4 linked regions of the Macaca fascicularis genome follow. The main gene of each other region encodes a partner of the protein of the gene in region 4 in a complex. Links are inferred from orthologs where the notes say so. Each region holds a gene or a part of one and is shown on either strand. Other genes may lie near its edges.

Region 1 (4,069 bases), on a different chromosome or scaffold from region 4:
TCTTCAGCAGTTTGCTGAGTTTTAACCCTTTAACTATGGTGTTCTCTCCATTATCACAGAGAAAGGCAGATGGGAGCCTCTCCCAGCGAAAAGACTACAGCTTGTGTCCTTCACAGGACAAAATAGTGATGGCTCCAGAACTTTCATATGAAGGAACTTAGCACAGCTATCAGAGTGGGTGGTGGTGGGAGGACTAGCATGAAACTAGTAAACAACGACAAGCTGCCCCTTCAGGGAAAGTTTCTACTTCGAATATAAGTTACAGAGTAACGAAAATAGCAAGATTTCCGAAAGAAACTTATTCCCATGTTTTATAAAAGATCAGGGAAATGTCAGCTGTCCACTTAATGGATGACGAATAATGAATTAAGAGTTCGATAAGCGGCAGGCACAACTAAAAGCCAAACTCGACCTAAGTCTTATGAAATCCTACTTAATGAGCTTCTTGACTACTGCTAGCCTCACTTATCTGGCAGGAGTCGAAGGAGGGGAAGCCCCAAGCTCTTCTGTTCTACCACCTCCAAAGTCCTGAGCCCCTTCTCAAGTGTCCCACTTCATCCCTGCTTCCTTTCGTCCCGTGGGACTAAGGATTCCTCTGGCCTTCACCCTCACCACTTGCTGTCCCTCAAGAAGCCGACTCACCCCTTTCCAAGCGCGGTGAACCGTCCGCAAAGCACAGGCCGGCTGCGCTCTGCAGAAAGCCCACGCTCGCCAGCGGGACCCAAGGAACGCTAGAACTATACATGCCAGAACACTTAGCTTTGTTTTTAACTACTGTGCAGCCGCAAAAGGGAAATACCAGCTCAGGACCCAGGGGAGTTGTAGTTCTCTAATCCAAAGAAGTCATTATTCAGCAAAGTACGGTTTTCAGGAGGATATTCCCCCGCGATTGGGTTCCCGTAGGATGTGAAACAGAGAATAAATATCCCAGGATTCGGTGCTGGTGGGAAAATTTGCTGGAAGCGCAGCATTGGTTACCAATTTTGTGCTCAACGTCTCAGTACCAGCCTGAAAGTTGAGCCCCAACCTCCCTTAGAAGAGGTGACTCTCCATCTCTAAGGCTTCCGAGACACGGTTCGCAATTAATTATGACGTCACAGCCAATCGTCAGCGTGAAAGCGTGACGCTCTAGCCGGCTCTAGCTCGCTGCCCCGCCGCGGGCGCAGAGCTGGCGCTCTAGCCCACGGAGTTGGCCAGCTCCTCTCGCCGGCCCCAGGAAAGGGTTCCAAGTCCTTTTAGTACCCGACGCTGTCTGGGAGTTCCGGGCGTTTCGGCTCCTTGGTCGCAGAGGCAGGAGGCGTGCGTGGGAGGAGGACTCGGGTTATATACTCCTACGTCCTGGGACGGAATAGTTACCAACTCTGGGGCAGGAACTCTTCTCTCTTTTGTTAATAAACTTCTAACTCCCTCCTCAGACCCGACTGCATGTCTGTCATGGACCTCGCCGGTACTTGCTCCAGCTTTCAGTCGGACTTGGATTTCTGTTCAGATTGCGGCTCGGTCCTGCCTCTGCCCGGGGCTCAGGATACGGTCACCTGTACTCGCTGTGGCTTCAACATCAACGTTCGGGGTGAGAGGCTTGTACACAGGGGTCCTGGCGGAGGGCCCAGGATCGGAAGCTTGGGGAACTCAAGATAGGTTGGGTTCAGAAGGGGATCCTAGAGCAGGACATCAGGCAGTTGTACATTTGGTCCAGCGATGAAAACTGAGGGAAAGGATATAGGGCCTCCTGGCCTAACCAGCCAGGGGAGAGGGGAAGTTTCCGGTGTCAGCTCCCTCAGGTTGTCTCCATAACCAGTCTTACTTGCCTGTGCAGACTTTGAGGGGAAGGTTGTGAAGACTTCAGTTGTGTTCCACCAACTGGGGACAGCCATGCCTATGTCGGTGGAGGAAGGGCCTGAGTGCCAGGGACCTGTGGTAAGTTAATGAGATCAAGAACTGGCTCCATAAGGTGGGTAGGAAAGAAATGGAGGAGTGATTGCAGAGATCTGGAGAGTTTTGTGCCCAATTCCAAGTGGGAAAAGATGTAAAGCATCGATGTTTGAGAGGCGTGATCGCCTGGTTCCTGTGGGAAGTAAGGGTATGATATGACCAGGCCTCCATAACCCACCAGTTTCTTCCCAGGTTGACAGGCGCTGCCCTCGATGTGGTCATGAAGGAATGGCATACCACACCAGACAGATGCGTTCAGCCGATGAAGGGCAAACTGTCTTCTACACCTGTACCAACTGCAAGTGGGTATCCTTTCCCCTCCCTTTGCTCAGTCTGTTTGCTAACTAATAAACAAATCCAGTGATTTATTTTTTTGTACTAAACGGCTGTGTCCTTTCGTCCCATCCCTTATTTCTGTGCAGTTCTGGTAAGAGGGAGATTTGTAGTTTTTATTTTTTTAAATTACACTTTTTTAACCCTTTTTGTAACCAGTGAAATAAACCTTTTAGGTTTTTGTTTTGTTTTTTTTTTTTTTTTTTAAATGGACAGGGTGTTGCTCTGTCACCTAGCCTGGAGTGCAGTGAGGCAATCTTGGCTCACTGCAACCTCCGCCTCCTGGGCTCAGGTAATCCTCCCACCTCAGCCTCCAAAATAGCTTTGGGACCACAGGCACGTGCCACCACACCTGGCTTTTTGTTTTGTTTTGTTTTTTGTATTTTTAGTAGAGATAGGGTTTCTCTCTGTTTCCCAGGCTGGTCTTGAACTCCTGAGCTCAATCAACCCACCTCAGCATCCCAAAGTGCTGGGGATTACAGGCATGAGCCACCCTGCCTGACCTTCTTTTAGGATATTTAAAAGGAAATGAAGAAAAAAAACCATAAGAAGCAAGTATTGTTTAGTGGTCAGCGTCTTATACTGCAGTCTTCAACCGCAGTCAAGGTAGCTTTACTTTGGAGAGAATTAGTCACACATGATTTAGAGAACATGGGCTTTCTGAATGCTTTTAAGACCTCATCTTTGTCTTTGGTGTTCTGCAGTCACTATAGTATATCAAAATGTGATTTTCTTTTATTCTGTTTGGGATTTGTTGGACTTTCTGAAACTGAGAGTGCATTGTTGTTTTTTGTTTTGTTTTGTTTTTTTGAGACGGAGTCTCGCTCTGTCTCCCAGGCTGGAGTCCAGTGGTGTGTTCTCGGCTCACTGCAAGCTCCGCCTCCCGGGTTCACGCCATTCTCCTGCCTCAGCCTCCTGAATAGCTGGGACTACAGGTGCCCCCCACCACGCCCGGCTAATTTTTTGTGTTTTTTAGTAGAGACGAGATTTCACTGTGTTAGCCAGGATGATCTCGATCTCCTGACCTCGTGATCCACCCGCCTCGGCCTCCCCAAGTGCTGGGATTACAGGCGTGAGCCACTACGCCCAGCCTAGAGTGGATTTTTTTTTCATCAACCTTGGAAAATTATCAGCCATCATCTCTTTTAATATTCTCTTTCCCCCATGTTCTCAGTCCTCACATTCTGGACCTCTAATTAGTTACTAGAATGAGATTTCTCTCTTCTGTCCTCCATTTCTCTCGCCCTCTTTTCATATTTTCAATCGCTTTTCTCTTTATGCCACCTTCTGAGTAATTTCTTCAGGTTCCTCTTCCATGTCACTAGTTCTGTCTTCAGTTTATTTCAAATATTATTATTTTTTACTATTGTTATTATTTTGAGTTCTATTTAATTACTTTTCAAATCTCAATTTTTAAATAATTCTCAGTTCCTTAATCATATTTTAAATTGTTCCTTTTACTAGTCTTTAAATATATAAAATATTAAATATAGTTATTATATTCTATGTCTCATAATTCTGATATCCATGGATTTTGTGTGTCTGATGCTGCTGTCTGTTTCTGCTGTCTCTCTCATAGTGCTTTTTTCTTTGTTTTGTAATTTTTGACAATAAATTTGAGTTTTTTAGAACTTGAACTGTAGGAATTCTTTGAGGCCTTGGGTAAGTGCTGTATTCTCAGCATTTGTGTTTCTTTTCTAGGTGCCTTGAAGCACTATCAAGCTGGAATTACTTTAAATAAATTCTTGGCTTCATGTTTTTTGGAGCACACAGATAGTATGAATTTGAGCTGCAAATCCATGTA
Region 2 (4,134 bases), on a different chromosome or scaffold from region 4:
TTACATTTACATCCCACTTCCACTTAGGCTGCAAGCTCTTTATCACTTATTATTTATTAACTCGCTATCAGGTTATTCATTCAGAGTGCATTGTTTGCGTTTTTCTTGGTTTTCTTTGGAGGAGGGATGAGATGTGGGGGGCTACTGTAGTGAATAATACAGATATTATGGTCCCCACTTTAGTGAGTGTAGGAATCTATTGACGGAACAGGCAAGCAAATGGCAGTTAATATAAAATTAACATTAAAAAAACATGCATGGGTAACTACCTAATCCTTATAGAGAAAGAGGTGTGGGGTGGTTGAACTCTTTGCAAAGGGACAGAATGTAAAATCTAAGCTAAAAATTGATACGTGAGGAGAATTTACCCTTGTGAAAATATTATATTTCCCGGTAGAAGGAACAGCGTAAGACTGCAGAAAGAGTGACCTGAAAGTGGATCAAGGGGCATAATATTGGGGTGGGGAGTGTGACAAATGAAGCTGAAGAGAGAGGCTGCGTGCCCACACAGATCACAAAATGGCCTTGTATAAGCATTTTTCAGGAGTTTGTGTTGTCCTAGAGAAAGTGGGGTGCCTATGTAGGGCTTAAACAGGGCACAACACAATCATATGTGTTTCCGGGAAGATCTGGCTGCCCCAGGGCGTCCTCCTGACCATTGAGCTAGGCTTCCACAGGCAGGGAGTCCTGCGGTTTTGTCGGTAGGGAAAGAGAATAGTGTCCAAACAGAATGATATTTCCACTTTGGGAAATACAGGCCTTCAGGCTGATTTAATATTTGGGAAAACAAAAGAGGATCCGAGGCTGACAGGTTGGCTGTGGTATAATTCCCTGATTTAGCATGTGCATAATGAGGAGAGAAGTGGGACAGGAGAGAACTAGTAGGTTCGTTTTAAGATATGTTGCATTAGAGTTATCAGGCCTGCTTCTTAGGATTTCGTGTCCTGCATAAAATACACTCCATAAATATTTTGATTTTTTATTGTACAGTCCAAGCTTGTAAAATTCTACCAAACCACCTTACTACTGGAAATGATCAAAGTGAAAACCCCCCTTTTTAAGCTGCCTACTTAATCCAATAAGCTTCTGTACGAAAACACATATTTGCCTGCCCTTAAAAGAGCAGACAGTTGACTTTCCTGCATGCTCAATGCATATCCCAGGCTCTAAGCTCGCGTCCTCGAAGCGCGAAAATACGGTTCCCCCTGCTGGCCAGAGCGGCGTAATACAGCGTAAGGAGGAGAAATTCCTAGGGGCGTGGTAGTTGGTGGATGACGTAAAAAGAGCGTCGGGGACAGGCGATTGTGCTTGCGTCAACGGCGCGCGCCGTGGGAACCTTGACAAGCGGCATGGCTGCGGGTTGTTCAGAGGTGCCGCGGCCAACGGCGGCTTCTGATGGGTCTCTGGTAGGGCAGGCTGGCGTCCTGCCTTGCCTAGAGTTGCCGACTTATGCCGCTGCTTGTGCGCTGGTGAACAGTCGCTACTCATGCCTGGTGGCTGGGCCGCACCAAAGGCACATCGCGCTGTCTCCCCGCTACCTGAACAGGAAACGCACTGGCATTCGAGAACAGCTTGATGCGGAGCTCCTTCGCTATTCTGAGAGGTACCGATCTCTTTGCCTGTTCCTTCTTTTGTGCACGGGAAGTAGCAGCAGGTAGATATGCTGACAACGCAGCAGAAAGGGGGCAAATAGTAAAGGTCGCATTGCCCCCCCAGAGCTTAGCCCCGTGGAATTCTAGAGTCGCGATCCGCCCCTCAAGGCCAGTACCACTGTGGTGAAGATCTTTATAGGGTCCCTTTCATAGATAGAGAAGAAAACTTAAAGATGAAGTTCAGGTGTCGGCGGAGGGAGTGGAGATTCTCGCTCCAGAATCCTGGTGTAGGGGTAGGAACAGACCAAGGGTCTGGAGACCTAGTAGGCCCAGTTCTGTTTGGCATTCAACGTTTCATTTATCCCGTTCCGGATGATGTTTTCTCATTTGACGATAAAAATTTGGTTTGCAGTGCTTAAGTAGATTCTCATTCCATCGAAGATTGCACATGAAGCATTAGTACAACCGTTCTACCTGTAAAACGTGAAGCACGTTTTTTTCTTACTGTATTTCAATCTGGTCATTTCCCCATTTTCTCTTCTTTTGGACCTGAGTTGTTTTTAAGACGATTTATTCAATCGAACTAATGAGCCTGTTGCTTTTGGGAGAGAAAAAAACAAAAGGTATGCATTTATATTACGGTATTCAAAAGTGCCTTGAAAACAGAATTACAGAGGTGTGTGGCGGGGGGCGCGGGCATGTGCCTCAGTATTCCTCTGGACTATACTTTGGTTCAAAAGCGAGGTTCTAATACTAGAGTGAATGGATTCTTTAGGGATTCATGACTGTCCTTCAGGAATTCTTATGTGAAGTTCCTTGGGCACTGTATCGGAAGCTTTTATCACTTTCTTAAGGGATCCTTGACCTCCACACACAGGTTAATAATCAAGCATCTCCAGAATATACAGCTTCTTCCAAGCACCAATATACACTTCTCGTATGTTTATATTATATACCGAACACTTGAGATACAAAAACAAACAAAAAATGAAATCCCTCTTTCAAGGAGCTTTAAGCTGTAGTAGAGATACAAATACAAGCCAATAAATAGTAAGGTGTTAAAATTTGACAGAAATCTAACAAGATAAGGAGTGTTGAATTGGGATCTTGGGACCTCTGAGAACAACTTGAGTGAAGACGGTACTTTCCCATGGTAGCATTCCAGGCAAAGAGTGGCATAAACAAACGGATACTGGATGTGAACCGGTATGCTTTGCCCAGAGAACCGTATCTATTATATAAGTAGAATAAGGTTTATGTCAGGGGAAAGGCATTGGATGCCATTGGAGACGAGGGCAGGGGTGACTCAGAGAGGATGGCCATTTTGCTTTTCCCTTCCTGTCATTGCCAGTTTTTGTTCTTTTGGGGGTAAGGTGGGGTTGTTGTTGTTTTTCCTTTTGTGTTTCTGTTTTCATAGGCAGGGTTAGTGCTTCATCCTCTCAGTACCCTTTAACTCTGAGACTTGGTACACTTTTGAGAAAGCAGTACTTATCTGCAGTTCCTGGCATATCAGATTTGCAGTTTAAGAAACAGTACTTGTTAGCCTTACTTAATGGTTAGCTACCAAATAGGATGAGAAAGTGGACAAGGAGAGGAATTAAGATCATGTTATAATTGTTCAAGAGAAAATGATTAGAGAGGATGGATTTGAGAGATTAAAGGATATACAAAGTAGTCATAACATCTGGAAACACAAGCAACCATCCTGTTTTCTGTAACCGTTTTGTATTGCCTGCATTTGACAGGCTAGGGCGGGAAATAACGAAATCACGCGGAGTGACTCTGAACAGATCTGGCCACCACTCCTTTCATATTACTTGGATATGCTGAAGACCCCTGGTGAAATTATGCACCAGGTGAAAATCAGGCACCACACTTTGAACTATGCATTACTAATGAGGGACAAAACATTGAACATACAGTATTAAAGAACTAAAGTGAGGCTACCATCTTGCCCTGATACCTATTTAGGATGGTATCTGAAAAACAAAAGTGAAGAAGGAAAAAGTATATAGTGTTGGGTGCCTGTGTTCACATATCTGATGACTCTTAACAAAATCCCCCTTGAATTTATATATTGCTAAATTCCTGAACAATTTAATATAGATTAAAAATATGCAAAGATGGCTGTGTGTTGATGTTAAGAGTTAAATTAGGTTCCTAGCTATTTGTAAACAGATTTGTCCTTTTATTCAAAAGTCAGAGCTAAGGATATTTCCTCATTGTACCGACTGTCCTGTACATGACAGACTCTTTTCTGCCCTGGCTTGTGCAAAGTTTGTGATAACCATGATTAGTATCACAAATTTCCAAATGTCCCCCCTCCCACCAGGGGACCACAGACCTCCTTCCAGACACGGCTTTGATTAGGAGAAATAAAGTCTTAATATTTGTTTTTCTGTCTAGTATGGCAGTTAATTTTTCTTCCTATTCTCTGATTCTGTTTTCTGTGTCCCTAACATTGTCTTAGTGATAGGATGATTCCAGCTTAGGAATGCCACATGCAGAAATGAAAACCTCAGAAGATTGCTTTCCCGAGTAA
Region 3 (4,009 bases), on a different chromosome or scaffold from region 4:
AACTAAAACAGTTTGCTTCAGAGGACACCAGCAAGAAAGTAAAAACCCACAGAATGGGAGAAAATATTTGCAAATCATGTATCTGACAAGGACTAGTATAGGCTATATAAAGAACTACAACTACTCAGCTGGCCGGGCGTGCGCGGTGGCTCATGCCTGTAATCCCAGCATTGAGAGAGGCAAGGCGAGAAGATAGCTTGAGGTCGGAAGTTCAAGACCAGCCTGTGCAACACAGACTCCCGGCTCAAATTTTTTATAAAAAGTGATATAGGAAGGAAAAGTACCAGGTGAACTAGGAAAAGGGGAAGTTGACAGTAAGGAGGGACTCTCAGGGACAGGAGGATACTGGGTAGTGGTGGTTTAACTGTTTTGTGGTGATGGCTGCATGGTTGTATACATAGGTCAAAACTTAACACGTACACTTTAAATGTTTGGTTTATTGTATGCCAGTTATAACGCAATATAGCTGTTAAACACACAATGAAGTTGAAAGGCCAGCAGGCATTCCCTGATTAATCAGTGTACTGGGGAGGTAAGGGGCTCACAGGGACGCAAAGGATCTTCACGCTGTAAATCCAGTGGGACGCCCAGCTGCCCTCTCCCCTCCATCCGAGACCGCCCGATCCCACCTCCCTCCCCAGGCCTCCCCAAGGACTCCAGTCCAGAAGATGCGAGGAGGTTAGCGGGGCCCGACCACTCCTTGGCTTCCCAGGGATGAGCCTCGCGAGTTAGGAGTTGGGTAGAGTCAGCCAGGGGCCCGGCATCCGCTTTTTCGTTGAAGCAACGACTTTGGCCGGATGACTCCCCAGTGTCGGCGTCGGCGTGGGACTGGGAACGGGTTAAGGGAAATAGAAGAGAACCTGAGAAGACCGCTCTCCTCCAATCCTAATTGACTGAGCCAATGAGAGCCAAAGAGATCACACGCTCCACTGGGAGAGGAGCGGGTTTCCACCTGCGGCATCTGTCGCAGAGGAGGGAGATGGGTGGGGCGGAAGATGGGAGAAAGGGAGGGACCGCCACGCTCTAGCTGGTCACGGCCTTAATCGGCCCGTTCACTCGAAGTTTTTGGTTCTACGTCGACTCCATGAAACCGAAACCGTAGGGCCTAGGGCGGGCGGAACGAGAGGGAACTACATTTCCCAGCAGGCTGCGGAAGCGGGACTCCGGCCACTACTTCCGGCGTGTACAGAGCCACTGGCATTCGGTGTGCAGGTGGCCGCATGGATCCCGGCAGCCGGTGGCGGAACCTGCCCAGCGGGCCTACCCTAAAGCACCTGACCGACCCCTCTTATGGAATCCCGCGGGAACAGCAAAAGGCAGCGTTGCAGGAGCTGACGCGGGCGCATGTGGAGTCCTTCAACTACGCCGTGCACGAGGGTCTCGGCCTCGCGGTGCAGGTGAGCGCGGCGTCCGCTGGCGCCCTTGCCGCGGCGAGGCCAATCGCAGGGAGATGGCTGGGAGGTCACAATATGACCCTAAATGCATGTGCTCCTTGATCCTGACAGGCTCAGTGGGTAAGCGGGAGAGCACAACATGTTAAACAGGACGCGGAATTGGGCCTCGTGGAACTTGTAGTCAAAGCGTCTTAAGAGATGTATTCGTGATTTCTGGATTGAAAAGTGATTGCGAACCGTAGTTTCTTGTTGGACAGTTTCTGGGTGCTGTGAGAGTGAGGAAGTGGCTTATCTGGGGTGTGCTTCCCAACCACTCACAATGCACACGGCTTTATATCACTAGAAGACTTACCTCTCCAAAACGTACCTCAAAAGATTCCGAACTTATTTGTAGGTACAGTGTAATGTACAAGGTTATCCTTCAGTATCCTTCTCTTAGAGCTTTAAAGAGAGAAACTACTCGTCATTTGTTATGAATTAAGCAGGTGCTGAGGAAGGTATAAATGAGTCATAAAAGCAAGATTGAATCGAAAAGTGTAATTGCATTATTAGCGTAGAGTAGTGGTAGCAGAATTCAGGTGAGGATGGTGGGGGAAAGTTTCGTTTAGTAAGCATCTCCAGTGTCTCCAGGCACTAGGCTCAGAGGATGTGGAGGAGGCAGTCCCGTGTAAGAGACAGTTCATGCGTTTCAGTGCTCCCTGTCGTGTTTGGGGGTTGGAGGGGTGAAGATATGAAAGCAGTCCATGCCAATATTCTTGAGAACTGCTCTGCCAAGGGATTGTGTGGGCTACGGTGGGAGCAGATGGGCGGCGCAACTAATCCAGGAGTTTGAGAAAGGGCAGGATTAGATGAGTTCAAGAGGTGAGAAACGTACATTTCATCCAGGGGAAGGGTAGAGCAGAGTCACATGCTTAGGGGACGCTACCTGTGGTTTTGTTGGGTAAAATTTGTGTTGTGAGAGATAGGAATAGAGATAATGTGGAGAGCTTTGATTGCCAGTCTGATTCTTGAACTCTGTTCGGCAAATAATATGGGAGCCATTAAGATTTATTGTTTAGAAAGACTTGGTGGGGGTTATTTGTATTGTGCCTGGATTCTTACAGTATCATGTCTGTGAGAAAAAATACCTAATTAAAAGTTAATTGGGCCGGGTGCAGTGGCTCACACCTGTAATCCCAGGACTTTGAGAGGCCAAGGCAGAAGGATGACTTGAGCCCAGGATTTCAAGACCAGCTTGGGTAACATAGTGAAACCCCACCTCTACAAATATTAAAAAAATTAGCGGGACATGGTGGTCTGCACCTGTGGTCCCAGCTACTTGGGAGGCTGAGGTGGGAGGATGACTTGAGCCCAGGAATTTGAGGCTTGACTGAGCTATGATTGTGCCACTGCACTCCAGCCTTGGTAACAGAGTGAGACCTGTCTTTTAAAAAAAAAAAAAAAAAAAAAATCAAATTGAGAAATTTTAGAAAAGCACTAATTCATTTAAAAATAAGCCAATCGGCTGGGTGTGGTGGCTCTTGCCTGTAATCCCAGCACTTTGGGAGGTGAAGGCGGATGGATCACTTGAGGTCAGGAGATCCGGACCAGCCTGGCCAACCTGGTGAAACCCCATCTCTACTAAAAAATACAAAAATTAGCCGGGCGTGCTGGCACATGTCTGTACTCCCAGCTACTCGGGGGGCTGAGGCACGAGAATTGCTTGAACCCGGGAGGCGGAGGTTGCAGTGAGCCAAGATTTCACCACTGCACTCCAGCCTGGGCGACAGAGTGAGACTCTGTATCAAAAATAAATAAATTAAAAAAAAAACCAATTCTATGTTAACATTTTTATGAAAAATATTTTCCAAAGCAAAAAAGAAATTAGATGAATTGCATTATTAAAAATATTTTTAATGTCTGGCTCAATGAAAAGACAACTGGATTCTCATGTCTGCTTCTGCATTCAGTCCCTTGTGATATATTGTTTTGGTTGAAGTAGATGAAGAAAATTTGGCCCTGCATAGAAAATGATGCCACAACTTAGCCAGTACTGTAATAATATAGTATCTGAAAATGTTTTGTAAAACACAGTAACATAAATGGCTCATATTTATAAAGCCAAGGGAAAAAATAGTTGTCATTTTTTTTACTTACAAAACATAATTTTGCCTAGTTTCTTTGAAGTGAATTTCTCCTTTCTGTGAGTCAGAATTTATGTGTCTGTCTTTTCAAAATCTTTTCAAAATGCAATTGATTTTTATTACTTGGGGATTCTATATTTGCAAATTCACCTACTCACTAAAATTTACTCCTACTCCAAAAGCACCATGCCCAGAAGCAGCGAAAAAGTTGAGTTGATCAGTGTCCGTTTTCCCAGCTGAGATCTAACAAGGTGATGCTCGGCCTTCTTGTTTTCAGTTCTTAAACTATAAACAGAGGTGGTCTTCACTATCTATTTAGTGCCATGTTTTGTGCTTTTTGTTGGTGATTTTGCTGTTTAAAATGTCCCCCAAGCAAAGTATTAAAGTTCTGTATAAAGTTCCTAAGCACAAGAAGGCTGTGCTGTACCTTTTGGGGAAAATGTTAACACATGCATTTAACATAGGCTTTGTTCAGGCATGAGTTAGGGACTC
Region 4 (4,265 bases):
TTGCGCCCGGAAGGTCAAGGCTGCAGTGAGCCCTGTTTGCAACACTGCACTCCAGCCTGGGTGACAGACTGAGACCCTATCTCAAAAAACAAACAAACAACAAACGCTGGGACAATGGTAAACTTAAATGGGATGTGAGGATTACATGGTAGTAATGTACCAGTGTTAATTTCCTGATTGTTTTCTGTTTAATTTTTTTTTTTTTTTTTTTTTGGTCGCCCAGGCTACAGTGCAATGGCACCATCACAGCTCACTGCAGCCTTTGCCTCCTAGGCTCAAGCAATCCTCCCACCTCAGCCTCCTGAGTAGCTGGGACGACAGGCGTGTGCCACCACACGTGACTAATGATTATTTTTTTGTAGAGACAGGGTCTTGTTATGTTGCCCAGCCTGGTCTCAAATTCCTAGAATCAAGGGATAGAACTGCCTCTGCCTCTGCGCCTGGCAATTTGCTGATGGCTGTGTTGTTATTTAGGGAACGTCCTTGTCTGTAGGAAATACTATAGTCTTCGGGGTGAAAGGGTATCAGGTTGACAGCTTACTCTAAATGGTTCAGGGCAAAAAAAGTTCTTGCAGTGTTTCTTTAAGTTTGAGACTGGGTAATTAGAAAAGAGTGACAAGTTGCAGGCTTTAAGATTATTCCTAGGATTCTGGGTGTTGGAGGAGGGTGTGAGGATGTGTGGAAGGAAAAGAGTCCTGAAAGAAGGTGATTTGGAAGACAGAGGGGAGTCAGCCTGAGTTCTTGCCCTTCAATAGCACGCATCTTTGGGCAAAGGGGGCCTCGGCCAGGGTCCATGCTTAAAGGTCCTGCTTTTGCCTTTTTTGTGCTCTGAAAACTCCCCGTGCAGAAGAATGGTTGAATCCGCAGTGAAAAAGGGACATGTCTATCAGCTCGGACTCCCTCTTCTATTTCAGTCCAGAATCTCCTGGCCAAAGGCCCTGGGGTTGGTTGGGCTTCTGTTCCATCACCTCAGGGTTGATCGGGCCACATGTGTGCACGCCACAGCGCATTGCGGGGCGCTGTTTGTCGGACTGTGGACAAAGCTTGTACCTAGAACTGGATGTCCACGTGGGTGGGTGGGAGGTCCTAGAGAGGGGCGGCTTTTTGCCAGCGGCCACATTTAGTTGGGGCTCAAGGAGTTCCTGTTAGAGAATTCTAAATTTGAACTTGGTCTTTCAGGTCTTGGGAAGACGTGTTTGTCACGGTAGGAGAGAGACGACACTCTCTCTAGACTGTGCTGAGCCGGAAGAAGGCTCACAGCAAGCTTAGGCTGAAGCCGTAGGATGCCTCAGGCTCTGGACCTACAACACCCAGAGCGCAGGCGAGCGCTGAGCTAATCACGTGCTGCGCCTCGGCCAGTCGCGCGAGTATGTGGCACCTTGTGGGCGGAGACCGCGCCTCTCCGCGCGGGGGGCGGGGACACGCGGCTCGCGCACTGTGGGCGGTGCCCGGCTGGGGCCACGCCTTTTCCGGCCTGCCGCGCGGCGTAGGCTCCCGCGTGTTTAAAAGCGGGTTTGTGGCTACTGCTGTCTTAACTGTTGTACTTGGCGGACAAACAGGCGAGATGGCGGCGGAGGTGTTGCCGAGTGCGAGGTGGCAGTATTGTGGGGCGCCCGACGGGAGCCAGAGAGCTGTACTGGGTAAAGACTGCAGAGCTGGAGCAGTGCTCCTCTAACCCTCCCCCCTTCCGTCTCGGTATCTCAGCTGTCCCCTCGCACTCCGTTAGGCTTCTCCCCAGCGGGGCCAGGACGCCTGTAGTCTCCACCACTCTCCTGGGCTCGGTCGGGGCTGCCCTGTCCGTCTTTCTGTCACTACCGCCCAGCCGGATTGGGACATCCCACTCACCCGCTCCCCAGGGCTGTGTCCAGGACCCTGCTGTCCCCTCACCCACCAGGTCTCCCACCTCCCCCGTTTCCCTCTCTTCACTGGGCAGGGGTTCCTTCTGTCACTTTAGGTGTGGACCAGGCGTCTGCTGTCAGCCTCCTTCCGCGAGACATTCCCCCTTGTTACAGCCCCTCCCCAGGGTTCTCCCACCTCCCTAACCCCTCTTCTCAGCTGGCCCCGGATCTCCTCTAGTTCCCTTTGGGTCAGGACCCGAGCTTCCTTGCCATCCCCATTCTGACACTCACTCCCTCCCAGTGACAGTCTAGTCCCACCGTACATTGTGTGGCCTTCTGCTCTCACCTGATTCTTGGGCTGCACTCTTACAGTCCAGTTCTCCAACGGGAAGCTACAGAGTCCGGGCAACATGCGCTTTACCTTGTATGAGAACAAAGATTCCACCAACCCCAGGAAGAGGAATCAACGGATCCTGGTAAGTGAAGCAGTTGCCAGCTGCCTCCACTCTGCAGGGCTCAGAAGGCGCCTGGGAGTGGGTGGTGTGGGAGGGAGTGAGGGGAGAAACAGGAGAGTAGTAGCAAATGGACCTTTGAAGAACTCTGATGCCCAGCAACTTGGGATGTGGGGACAGGCTCCATCTTTCATTCATTTATTCTTTCAACAAGCATTTATGGAACCTCCTCTGTATCCCTGTGCTGCAAGCTTCTAGGAAAACAGCCAAATCAGGCCTAGCCCCACTCGGAGTTCATACTCTAGAACAGGGTTTCTTAACCTCAGGACTATTGACTTTTGGGGCCAATAATTCTTTGCTGTGGGGGCAGCATCCCTAGTCTCTACTCACTGGATGCCAGTAGCACCAGAGTGGATTTCCCTGGATTGAGAACCTCTGCTCTAGAGAGATGAGAACTGGCTGTGAGGGACACTTTTACACAAAGCTCTGAGGCCACGTGCGGAAGATTACAGGGCAGAGTGAGCTCAGTGGGAGGAGAGGTCTCTGCCAGAATGCCTTCCTTGGGGAGGTCATGTTGGAGCTGAGCCTTGAAGGCTGGAACGAGGGTTTGGCAGTCAAGGTTTGGTGTTCTAAGTGAAAAGGATAGCGAGGACAAATGCAGAGAAGCAGGAAAGCTTGCTTATGATTGGGGAGTCAATCAGCCATGGTCCTGAGAGTATACAAAGAACAGCCATGGGAGAGATGGGCAAAGAAGGTGAAAAAGGGCTTGGACTTTGGGCCAAAGAGAGATTGCTTACAGAATCACTTTGTTGCATGCCTGTAAGTGCTAGAAGCCCAGGGCCTCTCTCTCAAGTCTTGTGATAGAATTCCCCCAAGAGCTTTTCATACCATTAGAAGCTAGCACCATCTGAGGCTTCTCTTCCAAAAGTTGTCTTGCTTCCCCCGCAGGGACACCCCATATTCCCTTAGAGAGAGTGGAGCTGGATCATCTGCCAGAGATGAACTAGTTCTAATCCATTGTGAGTCTGGATTCAAAAGCCTCAGCAAATGTAGAAAAGAGAGATGATGCTTAATACCTTTCAACATTGGTTGTAAATGGAGTTTCTCCTCTCTGCATTTTAGGCAGCTGAAACAGATAGACTTTCCTATGTGGGAAACAATTTTGGTACTGGAGCCCTCAAATGCAACACTTTGTGCAGGTAATGGCAGGGGAAGGGACAGCGGGAAGGGTGATGGGGTTGGGAGTGGTGGCAGCACTGGCACTGCTGTTTCCTGTCTGTCTTAAGGGCAGTAGGAGCCATCTAGAGCGGTTTACTAGGTGATTCCTGTGTTCCTATTAGACATAGAGCCCTTCCCCTCACCTGTAGACATTGCTGGAAAGGAAAGATAACTTGAATTTCCTGAAAACCTCATTTGTAACCTTGTTTGTTTATAGCTGTCTTATTCCAAAAGGCAGTTCTCTCCATTAATTTGGAATGTGTGACTAGTAGGTCAAAGCTTGCGTGAAGTTTACCTGGGAACTAACGACAGGTAAAGAACTTGGTAGTGTTGAAGGCTCTGGGCTGGGAAAGAGAAGCCTGGGATTCCCATCCCTCTGTGCTGCTGTTTGACTGAGTGGCTGGGTAACTCTGCCCATCACTGACCCCTAGTCTGTACAATGAAGATTGTCCAACCTCAACTATATCACTCTCGGGGGCTGGCATGATGCAGACAGGGCCCTGTGATGGTACCCAACAATGAACTACAAACCAGGCCCTTTCTGAGCCTTACTGGACCATACTCCAATAGAGGTCAGATTGCTGTATAGGTGCTGAGAACTACTAACCCTGCACTCTCCCCTCTCAACGATGCCCTAGTTCCAACTGGTCTCCTTCCCGTTTACTTGATTTTGCCTCCATAAAACTGTTGTGCCATAAATTCTAGTGTAATTCTAGATTCCTACACCCCAAAAGAGTTTTCCATTACAGTACAGCAG

The links. Proteins that work in one complex are often made in the same cells at the same time.
Region 1: POLR1E (region 4) and POLR1H share a complex: the UniProt entries of both Homo sapiens proteins name them as parts of the RNA polymerase I (Pol I) complex. The link is inferred for Macaca fascicularis from reciprocal best matches to the Homo sapiens genes POLR1E and POLR1H.
Region 2: POLR1E (region 4) and POLR1F share a complex: the UniProt entries of both Homo sapiens proteins name them as parts of the RNA polymerase I (Pol I) complex. The link is inferred for Macaca fascicularis from reciprocal best matches to the Homo sapiens genes POLR1E and POLR1F.
Region 3: the proteins of POLR1E (region 4) and POLR1B are in contact, whole or in part, in a cryo-EM structure (PDB 8A43), measured with the Homo sapiens proteins. The link is inferred for Macaca fascicularis from reciprocal best matches to the Homo sapiens genes POLR1E and POLR1B. Residues at the interface, in NP_071935.1 of Homo sapiens: Gln27, Ser29, Asn30, Gly31, Tyr69, Thr76, Leu79, Lys80, Cys81, Leu84, Cys85, Met109, Gln110, Pro111, Leu112, Phe113; in NP_061887.2 of Homo sapiens: Lys254, Ser258, Phe259, Ser260, Tyr262, Gln263, Gln266, Ser295, Thr296, Gln297, Ser338, Thr340, Glu341, Ala532, Cys535, Pro541, Ile542, Asp543, Gly544.

What each region holds. Positions count from the first base shown.
Region 1 is NC_088378.1:142,602,749-142,606,817, reverse strand, and holds the start of POLR1H (DNA-directed RNA polymerase I subunit RPA12), read left to right. Parts: upstream 1-1,263; 5' UTR 1,264-1,290; exon of another isoform or gene 1,291-1,299; intron 1,300-1,415; 5' UTR 1,416-1,425; coding exon 1,426-1,570; intron 1,571-1,816; coding exon 1,817-1,917; intron 1,918-2,124; coding exon 2,125-2,234; intron 2,235-4,069. UniProt on the Homo sapiens protein: Core component of RNA polymerase I (Pol I), a DNA-dependent RNA polymerase which synthesizes ribosomal RNA precursors using the four ribonucleoside triphosphates as substrates. Can mediate Pol I proofreading of the nascent RNA transcript.
Region 2 is NC_088377.1:110,487,383-110,491,516, forward strand, and holds the start of POLR1F (DNA-directed RNA polymerase I subunit RPA43), read left to right. Parts: upstream 1-1,328; 5' UTR 1,329-1,349; coding exon 1,350-1,603; exon of another isoform or gene 1,604-4,086; coding exon of another isoform or gene 4,087-4,130; intron 4,131-4,134. UniProt on the Homo sapiens protein: Component of RNA polymerase I (Pol I), a DNA-dependent RNA polymerase which synthesizes ribosomal RNA precursors using the four ribonucleoside triphosphates as substrates.
Region 3 is NC_088387.1:19,538,191-19,542,199, forward strand, and holds the start of POLR1B (DNA-directed RNA polymerase I subunit RPA2), read left to right. Parts: upstream 1-1,203; 5' UTR 1,204-1,220; coding exon 1,221-1,397; intron 1,398-4,009. UniProt on the Homo sapiens protein: Catalytic core component of RNA polymerase I (Pol I), a DNA-dependent RNA polymerase which synthesizes ribosomal RNA precursors using the four ribonucleoside triphosphates as substrates.
Region 4 is NC_088389.1:61,840,630-61,844,894, reverse strand, and holds the start of POLR1E (DNA-directed RNA polymerase I subunit RPA49), read left to right. Parts: upstream 1-1,462; 5' UTR 1,463-1,564; coding exon 1,565-1,640; intron 1,641-2,139; exon of another isoform or gene 2,140-2,210; coding exon 2,211-2,314; intron 2,315-3,412; coding exon 3,413-3,489; intron 3,490-4,265. UniProt on the Homo sapiens protein: Component of RNA polymerase I (Pol I), a DNA-dependent RNA polymerase which synthesizes ribosomal RNA precursors using the four ribonucleoside triphosphates as substrates.